2 linked regions of the Caenorhabditis elegans genome follow. The protein of the gene in region 1 interacts with the protein of each later gene in a pairwise test. Each region holds a gene or a part of one and is shown in the gene's direction. Other genes may lie near its edges.

The links.
Region 2: the proteins of wbp-11 (region 1) and hsp-17 interact in a two-hybrid assay, tested with the Caenorhabditis elegans proteins (one large-scale study listed by BioGRID).

Annotation. Positions count from the first base shown.
Region 1 is NC_003280.10:10,171,095-10,174,927, forward strand, and holds wbp-11 (WW domain-binding protein wbp-11), read left to right. Parts: upstream 1-1,828; 5' UTR 1,829-1,830; coding exon 1,831-2,203; intron 2,204-2,251; coding exon 2,252-2,366; intron 2,367-2,413; coding exon 2,414-2,577; intron 2,578-2,623; coding exon 2,624-2,665; intron 2,666-2,800; coding exon 2,801-3,186; 3' UTR 3,187-3,252; downstream 3,253-3,833. Other genes in the region: gpd-4 (Glyceraldehyde-3-phosphate dehydrogenase 4), read left to right, coding at 186-708, 761-1,193, 1,242-1,311; gsox-1 (C2H2-type domain-containing protein), read left to right, coding at 3,580-3,607.
Region 2 is NC_003283.11:8,384,264-8,388,219, reverse strand, and holds hsp-17 (SHSP domain-containing protein), read left to right. Parts: upstream 1-2,292; 5' UTR 2,293-2,305; coding exon 2,306-2,352; intron 2,353-2,662; coding exon 2,663-2,900; intron 2,901-3,161; coding exon 3,162-3,326; 3' UTR 3,327-3,412; downstream 3,413-3,956. Other genes in the region: gcy-7 (Guanylate cyclase), read right to left, coding at 35-282, 358-467, 578-768, 817-864; F52E1.14 (ZP domain-containing protein), read right to left, coding at 3,413-3,607, 3,654-3,793, 3,952-3,956.

The DNA of each region.
Region 1 (3,833 bases):
CCAATCTAGATTTCTTTTTCATCATTTATTCTCTTTTTCTTCCCGATGCGGTTGATTTTGCTTTGCTCTCTTTGCTTCAATCTGAATTTTCGCCATTTTTATTCAGATTTGTTCCTTCTTAAGCTATTACTTCTTGTGAATCTTCCGTCAAAATTTCATTCAAGTTTTCTTACAGACTCAAAAAAATGTCGAAAGCCAACGTCGGAATCAACGGTTTCGGAAGAATCGGACGTCTCGTGCTCCGCGCGGCTGTCGAAAAGGACACGGTTCAAGTGGTCGCCGTCAACGATCCGTTTATCACAATCGACTACATGGTCTACCTTTTCAAGTATGACTCGACCCACGGTCAATTCAAAGGAACTGTTACCTACGATGGAGACTTTCTGATTGTCCAGAAAGATGGCAAATCATCGCACAAGATCAAGGTCTTCAACAGCAAGGATCCAGCTGCCATCGCATGGGGATCAGTCAAAGCCGATTTCGTTGTCGAGTCTACTGGAGTTTTCACGACAAAGGAAAAGGCCTCTGCCCATCTTCAAGGAGGAGCCAAGAAGGTCATCATCTCTGCTCCATCTGCTGATGCTCCAATGTACGTGGTTGGAGTAAACCATGAGAAGTACGACGCTTCGAATGATCACGTTATTTCTAACGCATCGTGCACCACCAACTGTCTGGCACCACTGGCGAAGGTTATCAATGATAACTTCGGTATGATCATCATCAAATCAATTTGTTTTTTTCTAATTTATTTTATTTTCAGGTATCATCGAAGGACTCATGACGACAGTGCACGCTGTAACCGCAACCCAGAAGACAGTCGATGGACCATCCGGAAAGCTGTGGAGAGATGGACGCGGTGCTGGACAAAACATCATTCCAGCTTCCACTGGAGCCGCCAAGGCTGTGGGAAAAGTCATTCCGGAGCTGAACGGAAAGCTCACTGGAATGGCTTTCCGTGTCCCTACACCAGATGTTTCCGTCGTTGATCTGACCGTTCGCCTCGAGAAACCAGCTTCGATGGATGACATCAAGAAGGTAGTCAAGGCCGCTGCCGATGGACCAATGAAGGGAATCCTCGCCTACACCGAAGATCAAGTTGTGTCGACTGACTTCGTGTCCGACCCTCACTCGTCCATTTTCGATACTGGAGCATGCATTTCGCTCAACCCGAACTTCGTCAAGCTCGTCTCTTGGTAACCACTGAATTTTTAAAAAATGTATTTTAAATTTATTTTTTACAGGTACGACAATGAATATGGATACTCGAACCGTGTTGTCGACCTCATCGGATACATCGCCACCCGTGGATAATTCTATCAGGATCTTTTATGTATAATCCATGTATTTCATAGCTATTTTTTTTATTACAGTCATCATTGAATAAACCTATTTTTCTGGTGAAATCTAGTACTTTTGTCGTGATTTTAGAAAAAGATTGAAATGACTTCTAAAGTGAATGTCTATTGGAATTCGAGACCTAACCTTTAAATTTAAAGTTGCTTCGCATTTTGATGGTGCGAACGTGGACTATTGATAGTGTTTTGTGGTGCGTTGCGGGCTAAACCGCGACGCCTCTGACGATCTTGCACCCAAATAAATTAAACGTATTTTTCTGATTAAAATTAACATTTCGTCTAGAAAAGCTAATTTTGCACTCATTTGAAAATAATAGCATCTTTCTTTTTTTTAATGAATCCATTTCACATCCATTATCTGATACAAATTTTATTCTAGATGTTTTTCCTAAAGCTCCTCATTTTTCGAATATCTGTATTTAATTCGTTTTTTATTTCCAGAACAGCTGTCCTAAATCATGTTTTTTTTTCAGAAATGCCGTCCATCAGTAAAACGAAAAGCGGGGAGCGCTATCGAGCGCCTACCGATCAAGCTCGTAAAATGGATCGAAAAAAGGAAAACAAGAGAAACAAAAAAGACAGGCAGCAAATAAGACAAGCTATGGCGAAATACTGTAATCTGGATGAGACAACGAGCAAACTTTTGGCATTAGAACGGCAGATCCTTGGATTAGATCCTCAACCGTTCCATATCGATGTTCTCAGAAAGAAGCAGAAAGTGCTGACAGATTCGATTAATAAAAGACGGATGACATTGCAACAGGGAAAAGAAGACGCTGAATTAAAGAAGTTTAATGACAAAATCAATGCATATCAGTCAGATTGTCAAAAACTAGCTGTTCTTGCTCGTAAGTATCATTTTTCTTTTTTTTTATAAATCACAACGTTCATTTTAGAACAAGCTCGTCTTGCCCGCGAAGCTGACCCGGACATGATCCCCTTACCAATGGGAGATGTTTCTACTGCCGGACCTGAAAGAAATAATCAACTACTTGCTCCTGCTATGATAAAGTATGTTAAATAAGTTTTGAGAATTTAAATTTTTAATTATTTTTTAGACGTAAAGTGGAATTTCAACTTCCTCCTAGACCTGTTCGTGTAGCTGGACAAAAGCCTCCTGGGCCGCCTTGTGGATTGGCTCCAAATTTCAGTGACAGCGAAGAAGAAGAAGAGGAAGTGCACGATGATCACTATGACGACATCGATCTTGCGCCCGTACCTAGTAAGGAGTTAATTTCTTAACGAAAGTAATTTTTGAAAAATTTCAGTTCCCGAATTCGACAACCCGTACCAGCCAATTCATAGAAATTGTAAGTTTTTATAGGCCAATTCCAACATTTAAAATTCTTACTCCCTTTTGTCTGGAAATTTTCAAGAAATTCCCACATTAAAAAAAATGTAATAAAAATTATGTTTTGCAAATAAAATTATGTTTTGATTTCCAGACGGACCTCCATCCTCATATAACTCAATGCCAACCAGAATGCCGCACCATCATCACCACCATCACCCACATGCGAGTTCTCATTACAATCCAATGGGTTTCCAAAACCATCACGAAGAAGCTGTTATTTCGTCGGCTCCACAAATTAATCGCAGTAATGAACCTGCTGCTCCAGCAACACTTTCTGCTGCTCCTGAACTACGAAACTTACGACGAGAAACTGTCAAATTAGTGCCGGCACAATTGCTCCGTCGTCCAGGAGACAACAAGACTATCGTCCCACGACAAGCGGCTCCAGTACAAAGGCGACCGGAGGTTCAGAAGCAAGCAAAAAATACCGATGAAGCTTATAATGATTTTATGAAAGAATTGGATGGTCTCATTTGAATTTGGATACTGTTACGAGTTTTCTTTTTTAATTATTGGCGTTTAAAATAAAAAATTATTTCTAGTTCCACGATATTATTTTCAGATTAACTTTTCAATTGCTTGTTGTTTAAACATCAAATCGCTTTGATATTATTTCTAATAAAAAACGGGTATCCCCGCAAATACGTTCGCAATGTTCGCAGAGAAAGTCAGAGACGCAGAAATGCAAACAGTGCGAGAGTGTGCGTCGGCCATGAGAGAAACGAGAGAGGCATCCGAGTCTCCCACTTTCTCTGCCGGTCTCACCACGATCGATCGCGGTCTCGCAACGCTCTTCACTTTACAGTTTCCATTCAGCTTTTCCTTTTAAAACTGTTTCTTCCAGGTTTCGCCTGAATCTCCTAACTAATAATGACAGGCAGAGGCCATTCCTTGAAAGGTTAGTAAGCAAATAACAGAAAAGTATCACAGAAATACAATTTCTCGCAGAAAAGGTATTGCGAAATCAGAATAACTTTGAATTGAAGATTTTCAAAACATTTTCTTTAAAAACGGAAGATTTACAGTGATTTTTGAACAATAGCAGAAAAACTGTAAATTTAATTATTTGGAAAAAGCATGGCAACTTTATTTGTTCTTCCAAAATTAAAAAAAGCCAACTCTAC
Region 2 (3,956 bases), on another chromosome or scaffold:
TCTTGTATAAAGTTGACACACCTTTGTAATAAACCTGTAAATCATTTCTCATTGTAACACATTTCTCCGTGTCTTCTTCAGTGAAATAAGCGTATACAAATTGACTCCACTCATATCTTTTCAAAACAGCTCGAATAGCAACTCCGAGACTTCGCTGCCCCGCCGACAGAATTCCGGCATTTGGAAATCTTTCGAAATCATCTAACTGAGCAGCGTTTACAAGACCCCACGCAATAATTGGTCGATTGAAGTAGTTAGATACAATAAAAGCAGCTAGCGTAGCTGAAAACATAACTGGTTTTTAAAGATTGGATCCAAAAATTAACTGTTACCAAAACATTTGAAAAATTTACTTACGCTGGTTCATAGTGGGCCCAATGATGACGTCCACGTTGTGCTTCTCTATAAGATCAACAGTCATTCCAGCGGCTTCAGATTCTACGCAATCGTCAAATTCAATAGTAAAACTGAAATTATTTTCAAAATTTACAAGATGATATGAACTATTAAAACTCTTCAATCCGGCCTGTCTATTTTTTTTTACAAAACAGTATGGCATTAGAAATAATCTACTTACTTGAATTCCCAACCACTCATTAGATTCTCCCTTTTCAATCTATCAACTGCAATTGAAGCTGCTGCTGCAGATGTACGATATCCAACAGTGATAGGTGCACTTTGAAAGTCTCTACAGTGAATAAATCCCACTCGAATCACATTTCCAGTGGTACCTGTTGCAACTTGGGGAAACATAGGTTTAGGTAACAACTGAAAAAAAATCATTTTTATTTTGTGGAATTCGCTTTCAAAACCTACCGTAATCACTAAAAACAAAACTAGAGACATTGAATAGAAGGGCTTCATGATTATTTTCTTATGCTAAACTGGCAGACAGCAGATCTTTTTATATCTGCACAAGGGGCGGTGGGATTTATAGAAACTTAAGTTTACTACGCCTGCCGCCTAATCCGTGAAACCTTATTTTTATATTTTTCCGCCTCCCGAAACAGTTGATACGTGAAAAAGCACGGAAGAGAAAAAAGCTTCTTTTGGACTTGATTAATCTGTTGGTCATGAGAAAGCGTGACACAAGGTAGGTTACGGTAGCAATTGCGTAATTAATCGGATCAGTCTATGCGCATTTCTGAAACATTGGGGATTTCAAATCTAGTTTATCAAACAGATACAAATCACATTGACATCTCGTGGAAACAGTCTGTAAAGTACCGCAAATTTTACAATTTTTGATATTATTGTCGTTAAACAAGTTCCATTTCAAATTTTTTATTGAATACGGTAAAAAAACAAGAGAGGCAGCTGGTTGAAGTGAGTCACTCTTGTTGAGTTTTCGTTACTGGAAACCTGAATGAAGATAGTTTTTAACTTTAGCATTACGCCTCATTATTTTCCTATTTCCTTTTTACTATTTTACTTGTATTTTTAAACTTTGTTTAGCACATTGAGCACATAAAACCAAATGTTATAAATATCCTTATCATCAACCCATCGGTTTCTTTTTAACTTTTTTCTTTCTCGAATTTCAATGACCCGGAAAACCACCACATCATATGAAAATCGAATCTAAAAATTTGCAGATACGCATCTGTCCTGCTGCGCTCTTTTTTTATTTTTGAATGTTTTTTTTTCTGCAAACGTTGGGAACAGTCATCCAATCCTTCAACCGTTCGTCTCGTTTTGAATGACAAACGTTCTCTTTCCGTCCTCTGTTTGAGTATATTTACATTGCTAATTCAAAAAAAAATAGTATAGAATATAATGATACTTAGAGATAGTTCTGGCATAAAGTTTAAACTTGAATGAAATCATCAATGCCATTAATAACTGTGTCACTGCATTAGTTTATCAGCAAGTGTGCCAGCAAAAAAAACGTTTCGAGACGATTCGATACATTCCTGAAAAACTTCGATAAAAGGGAAGTATCCAAACAACCACACCCAACTTTCATCATTGACTCGCTGTTTTGCTTTTTATTTTTGTTAATCTTCCTTACAATTAGTTTTAAAGTTTAAAACAAATATTACATGTTAGAAAGAACTGTATTTTGGTCAGTTTGTTCGAATAATTTCGAAATCTAAAACCTTTTCTTTTTGATGATTCGTCGGAGTAGATGTTTCTCGAAGGAGGTAAAAAAAACCGTGGGCGATTCTTGTTTGCATTGAGGATAATAGAGCAGTAGTAGAAAAGCAGGGAGTGTCAACTCAGTTTTGTCTTCTTCTTCCCCTATTTCTGTCTTACTTTCGTTTTGTTTCTTTGAAATAATTAGATTTTCAGAAACTATTATAAAATGGATCGTCGTTTTCCACCATTCTCCCCATTCTTTAACCATGGCCGGTAAGTTTCTAAATTCTCGTGTTTTCGGAAACTTCTATAGTTGAAGTAACATAACTTTCTGTAAATTTTCTTCTTTAATAAGTGACGTCACTCAAATTGTACTCTGCGCCGCTAGTTCTTAAAATACACAAGAATTTAATTTGGCGCGATTTCTAAAAATAAGCTAGCGAGAGGACTTTGTACTCCAGTTTAGCAAATAATGCTCTGAAAAATCATAAAGACTGGAGATTTTGACATATTTTTCTGCAATTAGAAAATTAGAAAATTAACTTTAAAAATTTTACAAAACTCCTACAAACAAGTTTTCTAGCAGATTCTTCGATGACGTCGACTTTGATCGCCACATGATCCGACCATACTGGGCCGATCAAACAATGCTCACTGGACACCGAGTAGGAGATGCTATTGATGTTGTGAACAACGATCAAGAATACAATGTATCTGTAGATGTTTCACAGTTTGAACCAGAAGAGTTGAAAGTGAACATTGTTGATAATCAGCTAATCATCGAAGGAAAGCATAACGAGAAGACTGATAAATATGGACAGGTGAGGGTTTCCCTCCTTCTTGAAAAACTCAAGTTTTGTATGAAGCTAGTGCAACTTGAAAATGTTTTCATGCATCCTTAGATTAGCTCTCAAGATCCTGAAACCTTACTCGGAAAAGGGCAAAAAGTTATCCAAAATAAAGGCCAAGAGTTCTAGATTATCCTTCCGCCTGTTACGCAATACAAGGAAGCCAAGCAACTCATTTCCGAGCTTATAACGAAGTTGTACTAAAGTCTAAAACCTCGTTGTGCATACTTTCAGGTAGAGCGTCACTTTGTCCGGAAGTATAACCTTCCAACAGGGGTCCGTCCAGAACAAATCAAGTCCGAATTGAGCAACAATGGAGTGCTCACTGTCAAATATGAGAAGAATCAGGAACAGCAGCCAAAATCCATTCCAATCACAATTGTGCCAAAGAGAAACTGATTTCAGTTACCTAAGTGTCTGTATTTTAACTATTTCAAAAATATTTATTCAATTCCATTATTGAAGTGACAATATAAACATTTTGTTTAGACTCCAACAATCTTTTGAACCGTAATGAATAGAGCATATGGGAACATGGATGGCCTCTTCACTTTCACATAAACTGAGCAGAAGTTGAAATCATCATAATAATCATAATCGATTCGAACTCCTTGTGAGTTTAAATCAACTTGCATTGAAGCGATTGAAGTATCGTTTGGTGATCCAATCGTTGAGAAAACCTTGAATTTAATCATGAAATCTTTTCAAATAGTGACGAAATTATACCTGTTGTGCTAGAGCAAGTGGAAGACTTCCATTGATAACTGCAGATGATACAATGACGTTTTCGAGTGTTTTATCTTGACAATGAGATTGACACCATTGAACTTGGGATACATCTTTTCCGCAATTGGAAAGTGAAGCGTCTGGAAATTTCTTAAAATCGATAGGAAATCTTTTAAAATTAGTTTAGAATACTGATGCAACACATTAAACATGATAAGATTCATTCTTTCCTGTTAGCAGATTAATTTATAATTGATGAGCTTTCTCTATCAATGACGTTTTTTTTTAGATAACTCACCAAAG